Saccharomyces cerevisiae S288C: one gene and its partners. The gene in region 1 interacts genetically with each later gene. Each region holds a gene or a part of one and is shown in the gene's direction. Other genes may lie near its edges. The genes, in order: MRF1, PCK1, DRN1 and YLR012C.

Region 1 (4,716 bases):
GTCTGATTTATTAATTTTACTACTGCCGAAATATGAGTTAAGTTGGCAAGTCGCTGAAGACTTGAAGAGGCTTCCTTTTGATGTCACACGGTCGTTCGAATATTATGGTGTGATATATGCGCCAAAAATAGTTATGGCAGTACTAGCTTCCATAGGGGAATATTATATCGTAAGATTTGTTCAAAAGCTCTATTTACTTACACTTGATAAGAGAAACGAGAAGGAGGAAGAGGAGAGACGCAGCGGTTTATCCGAGATTACGAAGTTTGCACTGCTTTTAAGTTTAACTAATTTTTTTAATTGCTTTTTTATTACAAGAACGTTCATCAACTCTTTTGAAATGATTTTAACTTCTATTGCCCTCTACTACTGGGACTGGACAGGCGGACAAATGATAAAAGAGTCATCTTTTACTAAGTCGCTTATTTTTGCATTTCTGGCATGTTTGCAAAGACCCAGCAGTGGACTTATTTGGGTAATTCCCAGCATTTCCCTAATATTAAACTTGGTAGGCAAAAAGCAGTATCATTTACTTTTCATCACATTTTCCAAAGTTTTACGGTCTTTTTTTCTGGTATTTACTGCAAATGCAATTATCGACATGTATTTTTATGAAAAAGTAACGTTTCCCTTTTTCCGATTTCTAAAATTCAATTTCACAACACCATTATCAAAGTTTTATGGGGTAGCTCCTTGGCATTTTCATTTCTTTCAAAGCTTACCTATCGTATTAGGTGCAAGTATTCCCGCTTTTGCATTTGGATTATTTTTTCCACTAAGCAAAAGGAGTTTCCCAAAGAAGTATTTAAACCCGTTTTTCCAAGTGAAACTCACTATCTTGTTGAATCTGTTGGTGTACTCTACGTTACCTCATAAGGAATTTAGGTTCATCTTCCCATTACAGCCACTTTTCATATTAATATCATCATTTGGCCTTTTGAGACTTGATAGAGATTATTGGAAAAGACTATCTGGCCTAAAATCTTTACTCTGGCTTGTTCCATTCGTGTCGGTGTTCATCGCATTACTTTTGGACACATTCCACGAATCTGGATCTATCGAAGTTATGAAATTTTTACATGAAGAGCCAGAAATAGATAGTTTGGGATTCATAATGCCCTGTCATTCGACACCTGGTCAAAGCTATTTACACCGCAGTGACATTCAAGATCTGTGGTCGATTACTTGTAACCCTCCATTGCATTTACTTGGAGACCCAGAGGCTTACTCCAAACTAGAGACCTACATGGATGAAAGTGACCATTTGTATGACGATATATCGGCATTCATTTACAAAAATTTCCCACCGCCTTTTCGTAAGGATCTAAGGAGTCCAGGTAAAACATACAGCCACGAATGGCCAACATATTTGGTTGTTTTCGAGCACATGGAAAACGCATTTCTAAAGGATTTCCTGAAAGATTCATCATACATTGAATACAATAGATTCTTCAACTCTCTTGCGCACTGGGATTCAAGAAGATCAGGAGACATAATAATTTATTATAAATTACCATTCGATTATAGCGATATTCCAGCGGCAGATATTTAAATTTGTGTATTCTTCACTTATCAGTTTACTTCATTTCGCGAAAAAGCCTTTAATTATTAGTGATTTATTTACTACATGATATTAATATATGTGTATAATTATGCAATAAGGCCTCTCAGAAAATATATGTGTTACTTCTCGTTGTGCCATCTGTACTAGGCTGAGTAATTGTGTATTTCATATACTTGTTAGGAGGATTTGCTCGCTCGGAGGATAAATACAGAGCGTTAATAGTGCGTATCATATGTTTTATAATATCTCAGGAATGAAAAGTTCGTAGAGCAGAACAATATATTTCATTGGTGCAAGCATGTGGCTTTCAAAGTTCCAGTTCCCCTCGAGGTCCATCTTTAAGGGTGTTTTTTTGGGTCACAAGTTGCCGTTACTAGTGCGACTGACATCAACAACGACTAACTCTAAGAGCAACGGCAGCATCCCAACACAATACACAGAACTCTCTCCGTTACTTGTTAAGCAAGCGGAAAAGTATGAAGCTGAACTAAAAGATCTTGACAAAGACCTTTCTTGCGGCATTCATTTTGACGTGAATAAGCAGAAACATTATGCTAAATTATCAGCGCTCACTGATACATTTATTGAGTATAAGGAAAAACTAAATGAATTGAAAAGTTTACAAGAAATGATTGTATCTGATCCATCATTAAGGGCGGAGGCTGAACAAGAATATGCAGAACTGGTCCCCCAATATGAAACGACCTCCTCAAGATTGGTAAATAAACTTCTTCCACCGCATCCGTTCGCAGATAAACCTAGCTTACTAGAGCTTCGACCGGGTGTAGGTGGCATTGAAGCCATGATTTTTACCCAGAATCTATTGGATATGTATATTGGCTATGCCAACTATAGAAAATGGAAGTATCGAATTATATCGAAAAATGAAAACGAAAGTGGGTCAGGCATTATCGATGCCATTCTGAGCATTGAAGAAGCCGGATCTTACGATCGTTTGAGGTTTGAAGCAGGCGTTCACAGGGTGCAGAGAATTCCTAGTACGGAGACTAAAGGAAGGACGCACACATCCACTGCTGCCGTGGTTGTGTTACCTCAAATTGGTGACGAATCTGCTAAATCTATTGACGCTTATGAAAGAACATTTAAACCTGGTGAAATCAGAGTTGACATCATGCGTGCAAGCGGGAAAGGTGGTCAACATGTGAATACGACAGACTCTGCTGTCAGATTAACCCATATCCCCTCTGGAATTGTTGTTTCCATGCAAGATGAAAGATCTCAACACAAGAATAAGGCTAAAGCATTTACGATCTTAAGAGCGAGACTTGCAGAGAAGGAAAGGCTGGAAAAGGAGGAAAAAGAAAGAAAAGCAAGAAAGAGTCAGGTTTCTAGCACCAATAGGTCTGATAAAATTAGAACATACAATTTTCCACAGAACAGAATCACTGATCATAGGTGCGGGTTCACATTGTTGGACCTGCCAGGTGTGTTATCTGGAGAACGATTGGACGAAGTTATTGAGGCAATGTCTAAATATGATAGCACCGAACGGGCAAAAGAATTATTGGAGAGTAACTGACGAACGTAACTTTTCGTTTCTTGTAAATATCATATCGTATCTATCACTTCTGTAAATCTTCTTTTCTATTGTTCTGCGCCACGTAAGAACTGACGCACATAGTAGATGCCCGAAATATGCAAAACTCTGTGAAATAAATTGTACCGCCTCAACAGTTCAGTAAGAATAGTACACAAAGAGAGTGAAGTACGAACCGTGTTTTGCTCAAGATGTCTCTGACACCAACTAATGAAATATTGTTTCATTACAAGTCTTCAGTGAAGGTTGGTGAACTTGAGAGATATGTAATTACTTATCATCTTTATGACGGTGAGGAAATTCCACCAGATTTGAATTTAAATTCCTTGTGGTTAAAGGTGAGAAATATGAATCCGTTATCGTATAGAGCTGCGTACCTAATGGGTCCATTCATGCTTTATTGCGATGTAAAAACTGCCCAATATCATCATTCCCAAAAAATAGTTGCTTCAGTTGATTACCCCAAATTTGAACCGAATGTGCAAACTCAACAAGATTTCGTGGCTGAACTTTCAGTACATAACATACGACAGAAATACGTATGGATTGCTGATGTGATGAGTCAAATATTGTTCACTACAAATACGAACGTCACTTACGAAGTCACTATTGGAACTAGTAAAGAGTCAGTAGAAAATCCGCATGATCTGCCATCTCATCTAGGTTCTTATAGCCCTAAACTTACAGTGAACAGGTTAACTACCTTGGATTTGTGGAATCTTCCCGTTCAGATTACCACACCACAGAAAAAGAAACATCTTGTAGTTTTGACACATGGTTTACATTCTAATGTGTCGACCGATCTAGTGTATATTATGGAACAGATATACAAAGCACAAAAGAATTATCCCCACGAACAAATTGTTGTGAAAGGTTATAGGGGAAATGTCTGTCAAACTGAGAAGGGAGTTAAGTATTTAGGTACTCGTTTGGCCGAATATATTATCCAGGATTTGTACGATGAATCCATCCGCAAGATTTCTTTTGTAGGTCATTCATTGGGTGGCCTAATCCAGGCTTTCGCAATAGCGTACATTTATGAAGTCTACCCTTGGTTTTTTAAAAAGGTGAATCCAATAAATTTTATTACTTTAGCTTCACCGCTTTTAGGTATAGTCACAGATAATCCCGCCTATATTAAAGTACTACTTTCATTCGGGGTTATTGGAAAAACAGGTCAAGACTTGGGTTTGGAAAATGATGTTGAAGTAGGCAAACCGCTTCTCTACTTGCTATCTGGTCTGCCCTTGATAGAGATTTTGCGTAGGTTCAAAAGGAGGACAGTATATGCGAACGCTATTAATGACGGAATTGTCCCATTGTATACCGCATCGCTATTGTTCCTAGACTATAATGATATCTTGGAGCAATTACAGAAACTAAAGGAGAACAGCAAAAAATCACCGCTAATAAATGATGCTTCAACACCTGTGAATCAAGATTTCTTCAATAAAACTTTCATTTCGCCTCTGACTAAAATGTTGAGTATACTGGCGCCACAAAAGTTTCCTACGGAGAATGGTTCCGAAATTCCTAAAGTATCATTTTTCGAGTCAGCAAGCTCAATTCTCCTTCCTCCTTTACCTGAAAGAGC
Region 2 (4,877 bases), on another chromosome or scaffold:
TTTTCAAGAAATCGGTATAAAAGATTATATGGCATTGGATTCGCCGACAGATGGAATTATATTTGATGAAAAGGACGAAAATGGTGAAAAATTCTGGAAAAGGGCATGCAGAACCATATTTCTTTTTAGAGAGCTGTCAAGAAGTTTTCCAATAGGCGTAATAATCAGAAACGATCCGTTGATATATCGTTCATCATTTCAAAATACTAATATATTGGGAAGTTTAGTCTTCAAACTCGAACCCTTGTGCAATATACACAACAATATACCAGTATTAGGTGCCCTGGAAAGTATTATTGACATATCTGAGGCAAGAAGTGAAAACAACACTGATCTGCACGCTGTGCCGGAACTAAGTGTCAACGAGGGCGATAATATCTTCCACTATGTTGGCTACAAGAAACTTCGTGCCGATTATACGTGCTTCGATAAAAATGGAGAATTTTTAAGCGCCTCGCTTTACACTACATGGTATGTCCCGAACAGCAACAACACTAACATAGAGGACAACATCAATTATAACAGCGAAAAGGAAAATGAAGGTCTATTTCTGGAATGTATAAAATCTGATTATCCAGAAATAGATTTTAAAACTACATACTTTGTCTTTGATGCAACTTCTTGGCTAAGACATTCCGCACGCATATTCAAGCTAGCTCAAAACAGACTGCTAAGATTTGCCATTTGTTTAACCACATTCCAAGAGCTGAGATTTTTACGAAAGTCAAAGGACGAAAACGTCATGGAGGCTGCCACAAGAGGTATAATAACTATAAGGCAGCTTTACTATGAGAATAAAGTATTACCCCTAAGATTCACAGGTAATGTAGCGACACACATCGAAGAGAACTTAGAATTTGAAGAACAAATAACATGGAGGACACATGTCGACGAGTTTGTCATCGAATCCGTAATGAAGGCGCAAGAAAAACTAGAGAGTGCCAGCGAACCGCGTCTTTCCCCTCGCCGCTTTAACTACGTAGTTCTGATATCTGACGACGACGCCATGAAGAAAAAAGCAGAAGAAAAAGAAATAAAAACGCTAAGCACACGATTTGTGTTTTCTTTGTGCACAAAACTTGGCGAACAGCGCCATCTGTGTACAGACTGATCGTTCGTTGTACGTACATTTACAACAACACCAATTCTACTCACCGCCATAAATAACACTTTAATTTTAATATATACTTTTATATGCATATAACCAACTGACTTCCATACAATTCTGACCAGAGCACTTGGGCAGAGCCCCCACCCAGGGCCTTGTCGGAAAAAATCGGAATATCCCACACGATCCACCGGAGAATATCGGGACGCTGACGGGTGAATGGAGATCTGGATTTCCTAATTTGGATACATCTCTTTTCTTTTTTTGACTCACAATAGGAAAAAACCGAGCTTCCTTTCATCCGGCGCGGCTGTGTTCTACATATCACTGAAGCTCCGGGTATTTTAAGTTATACAAGGGAAAGATGCCGGCTAGACTAGCAAGTTTTAGGCTGCTTAACATTATGGATAGGCGGATAAAGGGCCCAAACAGGATTGTAAAGCTTAGACGCTTCTGGTTGGACAATGGTACGTTTGTGTATTAAGTAAGGCTTGGCTGGGGATAGCAACATTGGGCAGAGTATAGAAGACCACAAAAAAAAGGTATATAAGGGCAGAGAAGTCTTTGTAATGTGTGTAACTTCTCTTCCATGTGTAATCAGTATTTCTACTTACTTCTTAAATATACAGAAGTAAGACAGATAACCAACAGCCTTTCCCAGATATACATATATATCTTTATTTCAGCTTAAACAATAATTATATTTGTTTAACTCAAAAATAAAAAAAAAAAACCAAACTCACGCAACTAATTATTCCATAATAAAATAACAACATGTCCCCTTCTAAAATGAATGCTACAGTAGGATCTACTTCCGAAGTTGAACAAAAAATCAGACAAGAATTGGCTCTTAGTGACGAAGTCACCACCATCAGACGCAATGCTCCAGCTGCCGTTTTGTATGAAGATGGTCTAAAAGAAAATAAAACTGTCATTTCATCAAGCGGTGCATTGATCGCTTATTCCGGTGTTAAAACCGGAAGATCTCCAAAGGACAAACGTATTGTTGAAGAACCTACCTCGAAAGACGAAATTTGGTGGGGTCCGGTCAATAAACCATGTTCTGAAAGAACATGGTCTATCAACCGTGAAAGAGCTGCAGATTACTTGAGAACAAGAGACCACATTTATATTGTCGATGCATTTGCAGGATGGGATCCAAAATACAGAATCAAAGTCCGCGTTGTTTGTGCCAGGGCTTACCACGCTTTATTCATGACAAATATGCTTATTAGACCTACAGAAGAAGAATTAGCCCATTTTGGAGAACCTGATTTTACTGTCTGGAACGCTGGTCAGTTCCCAGCCAATTTACACACCCAGGATATGTCTTCAAAGAGTACTATAGAAATTAACTTCAAAGCAATGGAAATGATCATTTTAGGTACCGAATACGCCGGTGAAATGAAAAAAGGTATTTTCACAGTTATGTTTTACTTGATGCCTGTGCACCATAACGTTTTAACTTTGCACTCTTCCGCCAACCAGGGTATTCAAAACGGTGACGTTACTTTATTCTTTGGCCTAAGTGGTACCGGGAAAACCACTTTATCCGCAGACCCACATAGATTGTTGATCGGCGATGATGAACATTGTTGGTCCGACCATGGTGTCTTCAATATCGAAGGTGGTTGTTACGCCAAGTGTATTAATTTATCTGCCGAAAAGGAGCCTGAAATTTTCGACGCTATCAAGTTTGGTTCTGTATTAGAAAACGTTATCTATGACGAGAAGTCGCATGTAGTCGACTATGACGACTCTTCTATTACTGAAAATACTAGATGTGCCTACCCAATTGACTACATTCCAAGTGCCAAGATTCCATGTTTGGCGGACTCTCATCCAAAGAACATTATCCTGCTAACTTGTGATGCTTCGGGTGTTTTACCACCAGTATCTAAATTGACTCCTGAACAAGTCATGTACCATTTCATCTCTGGTTACACTTCTAAAATGGCTGGTACTGAGCAAGGTGTCACTGAACCTGAACCAACATTTTCATCTTGTTTCGGACAACCCTTCCTAGCCTTGCACCCTATTAGATACGCAACCATGTTAGCTACAAAGATGTCTCAACATAAAGCTAATGCGTACTTAATCAACACCGGCTGGACTGGTTCTTCCTACGTATCTGGTGGTAAACGTTGCCCATTGAAGTACACAAGGGCCATTCTGGATTCTATTCATGATGGTTCGTTAGCCAATGAAACGTACGAAACTTTACCGATTTTCAATCTTCAAGTACCTACCAAGGTTAACGGTGTTCCAGCTGAGCTTTTGAATCCTGCTAAAAACTGGTCTCAAGGTGAATCCAAATACAGAGGTGCAGTTACCAACTTGGCCAACTTGTTTGTTCAAAATTTCAAGATTTATCAAGACAGAGCCACACCAGATGTATTAGCCGCTGGTCCTCAATTCGAGTAAACGAAACATGTTCGTTCGATATGTTCAATCCAAAAAAAAAAAAAAGAATTAGAATTATTTCGACATCATAAATGTTCGTAATATATTATTTTGTCAATTTTTTCTCTTCCCATTTCAGCTTTTTTTTAATAACTGAAACTGGATCAACAAGCACATGTTTTTCTAATTAATCTTTCAAACATATTTATGTATATACATAAGGAAAATTCAAAAATCCGATGCAATTAACAGAATTCTTCTTCATAGTTCTCTTCATCCATTCTTTCGTAGAATAAGACGTATACCTCATCGCTAGACATTTCTGTTTTGCCGGCTTCAAAGTTGTTGCGATCCTTGCGATGTTGCTGTATATAATCGTCATCAAATGTAACCCAAACTTGTCTATTCAGTCCAATTTCATGGCTCTTTTCTTTGTTCACAACAGAAGTATAGTGTCCATTGATAAGGTTACCGGAATGATTCACCGTTCCATATAACTTGTATCGAATCACTTTACCGTTCTTTAAAATAATGTTCAATATCAAAGGGTAGGTTATTACAGTGCTGTTTTTTTTTGTTAAATCATAATAGAACCTTGATAAATGAATGACAAGTATCGGAGGTAAAACTATAAAGTCTAAACTCTTAATCGTGGTTAACTTTTTAGAATTTCGCTTCTTTGCATTTTTTGTTGAATCATCGCTGCTATGGTGATGATGGTGATGATGGTGGGGTGATTTTGACCTTGATCTGGAATGAAAACCGAATATGGTTGATTTTTTCTTCTGGCTAGTAATTTCTTCTTTTTTGGATTTAGAATCAGTAATTCTACAATTAGGACAATCCCAAGCATTGTCGCCTGACAGTTCTTCATCGCCTGTAAATAAGTTTATGCAATCCTCTAATTTAATTTTTCTCGACTTACTTGTAAAGCTATACAATGATAGTTTTGGAATCGCAAGTGACAGAACATAGAAGGTAGAATAGCTATAAGAAGAATTACCACAGCGCTGACATTTCAAAATGTTCTCCAACTGCCCTCGATATATGTGATCAATTGGAGATAAACCATCAGTAATAACATTTCTCTCGTACCATTTCTCGTATTTGGATGGGTTAACTTGTAAAGCATTCGCATCATATGACACTAGATCTGGATAATACTTGACAACATTTTCGTTCGAGAGCTCTTCATGTATTCGTGCTAAAACTATTAGTAGAAATTCCTGTGTATCCTGTTGATCATCTGGGATGTTCAAATCTGGCCTTAACTTCTTGCACATTTTTAAGAATCTATTTGGTATAATCGCTCTTCCTCCATTCAAATACATTTTTTTGAACAAAACGTAAATCGAGCGGGAAAGTT
Region 3 (4,817 bases), 430 kb from region 1:
AACATCTACAGTATTCCTTGCTAAAGAAAAATTCTTTAATATGCTATCAAAATCAGAAAAAAATGTCGACCTCTTGGCAGGCAATATGAGCAATTTGAGTTTCGATGGGCATGGGACTCCTGGGGGCACTGGACTATTTCCTAACCAAAATATAACAAAGAGGAGGACAAGGCCTGCGGGTATCAATGATTCACCTTCGCCGGTAAAACCATCCTTTTTTCCTTACGAAGATACTTCCAACATGGACATAGACGAAGTATCTCAACCTGATATGGATGTCTCGAACTCTCCCAAGAAGCTTCCACCAAAGTTTTACGAAAGAGCAACTTCAAATAAAACACAGAGAGTTGTTAGTGTTTGCAAAATGTACTTTCTAGAACATTACTGTGATATGTTTGACTATGTAATTAGTAGAAGACAACGCACGAAGCAAGTTCTAGAATACCTGCAACAGCAAAGCCAACTTCCGAATTCTGACCAGATTAAACTCAACGAAGAGTGGTCCTCTTACTTACAAAGGGAACATCAGGTTTTGAGAAAAAGAAGGTTGAAACCAAAAAATAGGGATTTTGAAATGATCACACAAGTAGGTCAAGGTGGTTATGGGCAAGTTTATTTAGCCAGAAAGAAAGACACAAAAGAGGTGTGTGCTTTGAAAATTTTGAACAAAAAACTATTGTTTAAGCTCAACGAGACAAAACACGTTTTAACTGAAAGAGATATCCTAACCACGACAAGGTCTGAATGGTTAGTAAAACTTCTGTATGCATTCCAAGACCTACAAAGTTTATACCTGGCTATGGAATTTGTACCAGGCGGTGATTTTCGTACATTATTAATAAATACTAGATGCTTGAAAAGTGGCCATGCGAGATTTTACATCAGTGAAATGTTTTGCGCTGTTAATGCGTTACATGATTTAGGCTATACACATAGAGATTTAAAGCCGGAAAACTTCTTAATCGATGCCAAGGGACATATAAAATTAACAGATTTTGGTTTGGCTGCTGGTACGATTTCTAATGAAAGAATTGAAAGTATGAAGATAAGGTTAGAAAAAATCAAGGACCTGGAATTTCCAGCGTTTACAGAGAAATCTATAGAAGATAGAAGAAAAATGTACAACCAGTTGAGGGAGAAGGAAATTAATTATGCGAACTCCATGGTTGGGTCTCCGGATTATATGGCTTTGGAGGTTTTAGAAGGAAAGAAATATGACTTTACTGTGGATTACTGGTCGTTGGGTTGTATGCTGTTCGAAAGTTTAGTTGGTTATACACCATTTAGTGGATCATCGACTAATGAGACCTATGACAACTTAAGGCGCTGGAAACAAACTTTAAGAAGACCGAGACAATCTGATGGGAGGGCAGCATTCTCCGATAGAACTTGGGATTTAATAACAAGATTGATTGCCGATCCAATCAATCGATTAAGATCCTTCGAACATGTTAAACGCATGTCTTATTTTGCAGATATAAACTTTAGTACTTTGAGGTCAATGATCCCGCCTTTTACACCCCAACTAGACAGCGAAACTGATGCCGGTTATTTTGATGACTTCACCAGTGAGGCTGACATGGCCAAATATGCTGATGTTTTCAAAAGACAAGACAAATTAACGGCTATGGTAGATGACTCGGCAGTATCATCAAAACTTGTTGGGTTCACTTTCCGACATAGAAATGGTAAACAGGGTTCCAGTGGCATCTTATTCAACGGACTGGAACACTCAGACCCCTTTTCAACCTTTTACTAGCGTAAAAATGAATTCTTGTCTTGCATTCGCCGCGATATAATTAGCTTTAACGAGCTTCATGCAAACTTTTCAACTAGCACCTATGAACGCTTTTTTCATAAATATACATATATATATATATAGTTGTGCATTACTTAGGACTTCAAGCCCATTGTTTAAAATCTCAGTTCACGGTAACGGTCCATCCCATGACCGTTTTGAACTAAACTTAAGCATTCATGTTGGGAGCGGCGAAACTTGGTAATGTTTTACAGGAAAACAGCAATGACCACTATTAATCGAAAATCTGCAAAAAATGAAAAGGAATGGGTGTTAACATCAATTGTTTTTTCAATGATAATTACAAATTGGACTGATACTACATTGCTAGATGTACAAAAAACGCAAGGTAGCTCTCTTAGAAGGATCCATAATATATAAAAAAGGGCTTATGGTTTACTGATATCTTTTTCACTTCAAAAACTTACATATAAAAATAGGATGACAAATGCAAAGATTTTAGTAGCTCATATAAGTGAAAGCGATGCCGATGAGGCTATCAGAAAGATCAAGAAAGTGAATGAAAAATCAGGGCCCTTTGATCTAATAATTATATTCAGTAACTCGTATGATGAAAATTTTGAGCTGAATACTGATGGGTTACCTCAACTAATACTACTATCGTGTGATAAGGCTAACAATTCGAAATCCAAAAAGATAAATGAAAATGTAACATTGCTGCATAATATGGGTACTTATAAATTAGCAAATGGAATCACTCTTTCATATTTTATTTATCCGGATGATACTCTTCAAGGGGAGAAAAAAAGCATACTGGACGAATTTGGCAAAAGTGAGGATCAGGTAGACATTCTCCTTACAAAAGAATGGGGCCTTTCGATCTCTGAGAGATGTGGAAGGTTGTCTGGAAGTGAAGTTGTTGATGAATTGGCGAAAAAGTTACAAGCAAGGTACCATTTTGCCTTTTCAGATGAAATAAACTTTTACGAATTAGAGCCTTTCCAGTGGGAAAGAGAGCGCTTATCGAGGTTCCTCAATATTCCAAAATATGGATCTGGAAAGAAATGGGCCTATGCATTCAATATGCCAATAGGGGACAACGAACTAAAGGATGAACCTGAACCGCCCAACTTGATAGCTAACCCGTATAATAGCGTGGTTACAAACAGCAATAAAAGGCCACTAGAAACAGAAACAGAGAATTCGTTCGATGGAGACAAACAGGTACTTGCTAATAGAGAAAAGAATGAAAATAAAAAAATTCGAACGATTTTGCCGTCAAGTTGTCATTTCTGCTTTTCAAATCCAAACCTCGAGGATCATATGATAATATCAATCGGCAAACTAGTGTATTTAACCACAGCGAAGGGACCTTTAAGTGTTCCTAAGGGTGATATGGATATCTCAGGCCATTGCCTCATTATTCCCATTGAACATATTCCGAAATTAGATCCAAGCAAGAACGCAGAGTTGACACAGAGTATTTTGGCTTATGAAGCTAGTCTTGTGAAGATGAACTACATAAAATTTGATATGTGCACGATTGTCTTCGAAATACAGTCTGAACGTTCTATTCATTTCCACAAACAAGTTATTCCCGTTCCAAAATACCTCGTTCTAAAGTTCTGCAGTGCCTTAGATAGACAGGTTCATTTCAATAACGAAAAATTCACAAGAAATGCTAAGCTAGAGTTCCAATGTTACGATTCACACTCTTCCAAACAATATGTGGATGTAATTAACAACCAATCCAATAATTATTTACAATTTACCGTCTACGAGACTCCTGAAGCGGACCCAAAGATATATTTGGCCACATTTAATGCCAGTGAGACAATAGATCTGCAGTTTGGACGACGTGTACTAGCCTTTTTACTTAACTTGCCACGCAGGGTGAAATGGAATTCTTCAACCTGTTTACAAACTAAGCAACAAGAGACTATAGAGGCTGAAAAGTTTCAAAAGGCCTACAGGACCTATGACATTTCTCTCACAGAAAACTAAACTAAAACTATTTCATTTAGAATTTCAAATATATCCAAATATATGTATATATATGTAGAATACTAAGTCATGCTACCTCTGAACGTTTAAGAGACCTAGCAACTCAGAGGTGATGAATTAAAAGAAAAACCGGGTAAAGTTCTTCGAGAGACCGCGCTGAAAAAATTTTTTTAGAAGAGTCACCCATACAGCCTACTGGTGTTCTCTGTGTGTGCTACCACTGGCTGTCATCGTTGTTGTATGTCCTTCAGATTTATGGAATTACTTAGATGGTATGAATAAGTGGTTAAACACATTATCTAAGACATTCACTTTTCGGCTTTTGAACTGTCATTATAGGCGATCATTACCACTTTGTCAAAACTTTTCTCTGAAGAAGTCGTTAACTCATAATCAAGTCAGGTTCTTTAAAATGAGCGATCTTGATAATTTGCCTCCAGTTGACCCAAAGACTGGTGAGGTCATCATTAATCCGTTAAAGGAAGATGGCTCTCCAAAGACTCCTAAGGAAATTGAAAAAGAGAAGAAAAAGGCTGAAAAACTGTTAAAGTTCGCTGCCAAACAAGCTAAAAAAAATGCTGCTGCCACCACAGGTGCATCTCAAAAGAAACCTAAGAAAAAGAAGGAAGTTGAGCCAATCCCTGAATTTATTGACAAAACTGTTCCAGGTGAGAAAAAAATCTTAGTATCCTTGGATGATCCGGCTTTAAAAGCTTATAACCCTGCTAACGTTGAAAGTTCTTGGTATGACTGGTGGATCAAGACTGGTGTTTTTGAACCTGAGTTTACCGCTGATGGTAAGGTTAAACCAGAAGGTGTATTTTGCATTCCAGCACCTCCACCAAACGTCACTGGTGCCTTACATATTGGTCATGCTTTGACTATTGCTATCCAAGATTCTTTGATCAGATATAACAGAATGAAAGGTAAAACTGTCTTATTCTTGCCAGGTTTCGACCATGCTGGTATTGCTACTCAGTCCGTTGTGGAGAAGCAAATCTGGGCTAAGGACAGAAAGACTAGACATGACTATGGAAGAGAAGCTTTTGTTGGT
Region 4 (3,530 bases), on another chromosome or scaffold:
CGTCTTCTGCATTGAATTGCCAGTCGTATACCAATAATCAAGATATCATGGATATCCTTTTCCAGGTTACTTCGGGATCTGTATGGGATGAGTTTTTTGTCAGGTCTGGTAACGGAAACGAAGGCGAGTCTTCTTACGATATCAGTAAAGGAAAGAACTCTGAATCCGGTGGAATATTTTAGCGATAGCTCGAAGAATCATGATCAATGGATTGAAAGTAGGGCCACCAATGCTCTTTTCAATCTATTTTTTGAAAACATGAGAGTCCTAAAAGAGCTAACTTAAATGACCGGGGCAGATTAATTGAAAAGTTTGAGGTTTTTGTGATAATCTTCAAAGTTGAACGCATGTATAAAATGATAGAAGCAACAGTCCATTGAGAAGTATGCCACTATAGTCATATATATATATATATATATATATATATATATTTACGTATTAATTGATAAACTATAATACCAACGGCACTTGATACTTGAATTCATCTTACATTTCCAGTGATGATTTTTTTTTCTGGGACTACGCTGATAAAGAAAAATTGCAAGAACTGAGAAACCACTTGTTTTGTATGGCACTTTGACTTTCGAATAACACATAATGTTCGTTATCAACTGTTTAAAGTCGATAAATGTATAATCACTGCTTTGACATAAGTATATAACATTCCGAGCAGAAATAAATTCTCTTAACGCGTTCTTGTAACTCCATAGAGGCTCTTTGGAACTTTTCGTTTGACGCTCACACCTTTTATTTCGTTAAAGTACCGTTTTGCCAGATCCTTGCCAAAAACCAAAAATATTTTTCTATAAAATAATCCACAGGCATTACACAATGTCACCTCTCCATCAGGACCCTCTCTCCATTGCGGAGAAGTTTTTATCACCGCACACTGTGGACATCTCCTGGTGACGCCTTTCCTCTTTTGGACATTGTGCTGAACAACAGCAGTATTATTCGTTGTGACATACAAAGATGCACTAATGGGTTTAGCAGTATTGATTTTTGTTTGAGAGTGAGGTTTTTCGCAGTCTATTGTCTCCTCTACCGGATTCAATAACGATTCAACGGAGATTCTTTTATATTCTGGATGACACAAAGTCTTAATGTTCATAGCAAATTCTTCCTTCTGGCTTTATATTTGCTTCTAGTTGATAATTGTTTACATTTAATGAAATTGTTTCAAATCAAGAAAAGGTAAGATAAGCTCCCTCAAAGAACCTCTCGTCTTATAATATACTCTTCAAACAGAGCAACAAATATTAATTAACATGCTCGACCATTTGTTCTTTTCCATCAAATTGGACCCTAGACCCTTAAAAACATAGATATGACTGAAGAGGAGGTTTTTGACCTCTAGCCTATTATTCCATTTTACAGAGAAGCCTACTTATTTTCTGTGGCAGGCGGCTAAGCAGGTAATGTTGTCCGCATTTTATCAGAAATACTTGCCAAGAAAAAAAAGGGATTTTCATATAAGGGGATTTTCTACAGGTGTTTGTGTGAGTATGTATTGCACCAAATAAGTACTGTGTTAAAGGTTTTGTTGATGCGTTTTCATCGGGGTTAATAGCGTCTAATCCTTCAAGGGAGCTGTAAGTGATACTTTCATTATGCAAACTAAAGAAAGCTGAAGTCCTGGTACGCCACCTGGCACTTCATCTGGCTTCTTTTATTTTTTTATACACAGAAAATAACTTACTTACACTTTTTTTGGAAATAAAACCATTGTCTCGGGGAACATATACATATATATATATATATATATATGTATATAATACCAACTGCAATAAAAGAAAAGAGTCATATTATAAGTATAATTTTGAATGTTCTGTGCATTTTTCACTGTCGAATAGCTTGCTTGTCATGCCAAATAATGGGTTAAATCGCTGTGTGCTGACAATGTATCAAATAATACTTCCCCTAATTGAATGTGTGGCGCTATCCGTATATCCGGACCCTTTTTCAGGGCCGGTCTTGGCATGAAAAAATGTCAGAAGCATGAGTAGAATTAAGTCGAGAACAAACTAATATGAAGGGGATGTTTAATGTAAAAACGTATAAAAAGGCCATGTTCGAGGTGGATAATAGAACAACATTCTATGAAGACGGCAGCTTCAAGACAGAAAATATTCATAGAGATTAAGAGAAAAAGTCTCGAACATATTCAAATGAAGACTGTCTATTACAAAGAAATCACCTACCAGCAGTATCTTCAACTGCAACCTGAACAACAGGAAAAATACCTGGCTTTATGTCAAAAAGATTTTGAACAAGAGACTGAAAGAATTGCATTTGATCGTCAAGGAGGTGTGCCTGGTATTGCTAGGAAATTTGCACAAGAAGAAGTTGCTTGGTTCGATCGCGTTACAACATGGTCATATATGAATGCTTATATTCCGAGCTACAGAAGAAGAAGAAACCTTTTAAAGATTGATATGTTAAAGATGTCTAATGCTGAAGAATACTGAGAATAATTTCGAGCGCCGATCCAAATATTAGGTTTGCTTTATCTTTTTTTATGAAATAAGTTCATGAAATATGAATACTATACCACTACGCATATATATATTTTAAGAAAATTTTCGAATGAAACTTGATGAAATTAGTCCATTAAAAGTGTATGGGTAATCGAAGAGCCCAAACTACCGTTAGTATAATACTTTGTACTTTGTACTCAATACTTAATACTAATTAAAGTCTGGATTACAGTGTCCTATGATAATTGTGTTAGCTTTTCATCTTTTATTGCGACTACAGTTAAATTTTATGGTTTATTTATTCCTCGTTGTTTCGATGCACGATGCGAGTAATTGCAGGATCTCTTCATTGTGCACGCTGAGTTGTGGTACAATGTCCTCGGGTAACGGTATCGTACCTACCGGTATTTTCACCGCCACTCCACCTATAACATTCATCTTCAAACCATGTAGTACCTCTTGAAGTTGGTCATTACACTTACTACCGCCATGACCGCCGTAGCTTACCACCAGGGCAGGTTTTCCGTGCCATTCATGGTAAAGACGATCAATTGCATTTTTTAAGGCTGCTGGATACCCCCAATTATATTGAGGTGTAACGAATACAATAATATCTAATGCATTTACGATGCGACTCCACGATCGAGTTTTGCTGTCTGCATACTCATCCACGCTCTTTATTTGCGCAGGGATCAGTTCGTCATCATCTTCATATAAGGGAAGAGCAATCTGTTGTAAATCTACTACTTGTATTTTCAGCTTCTGGTCTATTAATTCTTCGCTATTTTCAATTGTACGTTTTACGTATGCTGCAATTTCTGGGCATACCCTCTTTGCCCTCACAGAACCCATTATAATACCCACTTTCATGTTTAATGCGGTTGTCGACTAAGCACCTCAGCTGGTAATGGAGATGACCAAGTAACTAATTAACAATTGATAGATATACAACTTTCCCTTTTCAATAGGCATGTCAAATCTTTCGATTTTTTTTGATTTTGCACCTTCTTTGATTCATATTTACATTCGTAACCATGTGAGATGCTCAAATGT

The links.
Region 2: mutations in MRF1 (region 1) and PCK1 together harm fitness more than expected from each alone (negative genetic interaction), as found in Saccharomyces cerevisiae (one large-scale study listed by BioGRID).
Region 3: mutations in MRF1 (region 1) and DRN1 together harm fitness more than expected from each alone (negative genetic interaction), as found in Saccharomyces cerevisiae (one large-scale study listed by BioGRID).
Region 4: mutations in MRF1 (region 1) and YLR012C together harm fitness more than expected from each alone (negative genetic interaction), as found in Saccharomyces cerevisiae (one large-scale study listed by BioGRID).

Annotation. Positions count from the first base shown.
Region 1 is NC_001139.9:233,105-237,820, reverse strand, and holds MRF1 (Mrf1p), read left to right. Parts: upstream 1-1,862; coding exon 1,863-3,104; downstream 3,105-4,716. Other genes in the region: GPI10 (putative glycosylphosphatidylinositol-alpha 1,2 mannosyltransferase), read left to right, coding at 1-1,552; putative lipase ROG1, read left to right, coding at 3,314-4,716. UniProt on the Saccharomyces cerevisiae protein: Mitochondrial peptide chain release factor that directs the termination of translation in response to the peptide chain termination codons UAA and UAG.
Region 2 is NC_001143.9:629,270-634,146, forward strand, and holds PCK1 (phosphoenolpyruvate carboxykinase PCK1), read left to right. Parts: upstream 1-1,882; coding exon 1,883-3,532; downstream 3,533-4,877. Other genes in the region: ESL2 (Esl2p), read left to right, coding at 1-1,111; ubiquitin-specific protease UBP11, read right to left, coding at 3,757-4,877.
Region 3 is NC_001139.9:668,149-672,965, forward strand, and holds DRN1 (Drn1p), read left to right. Parts: upstream 1-2,239; coding exon 2,240-3,763; downstream 3,764-4,817. Other genes in the region: serine/threonine-protein kinase DBF2, read left to right, coding at 41-1,759; VAS1 (valine--tRNA ligase), read left to right, coding at 4,038-4,817. UniProt on the Saccharomyces cerevisiae protein: Involved in branched RNA metabolism, modulating the turnover of lariat-intron pre-mRNAs by the lariat-debranching enzyme DBR1. Enhances the debranching activity of DBR1 in vitro.
Region 4 is NC_001144.5:168,920-172,449, reverse strand, and holds YLR012C (uncharacterized protein), read left to right. Parts: upstream 1-2,168; coding exon 2,169-2,468; downstream 2,469-3,530. Other genes in the region: PPR1 (Ppr1p), read left to right, coding at 1-182; GAT3 (Gat3p), read right to left, coding at 686-1,111; LOT6 (flavin-dependent quinone reductase), read right to left, coding at 2,772-3,347.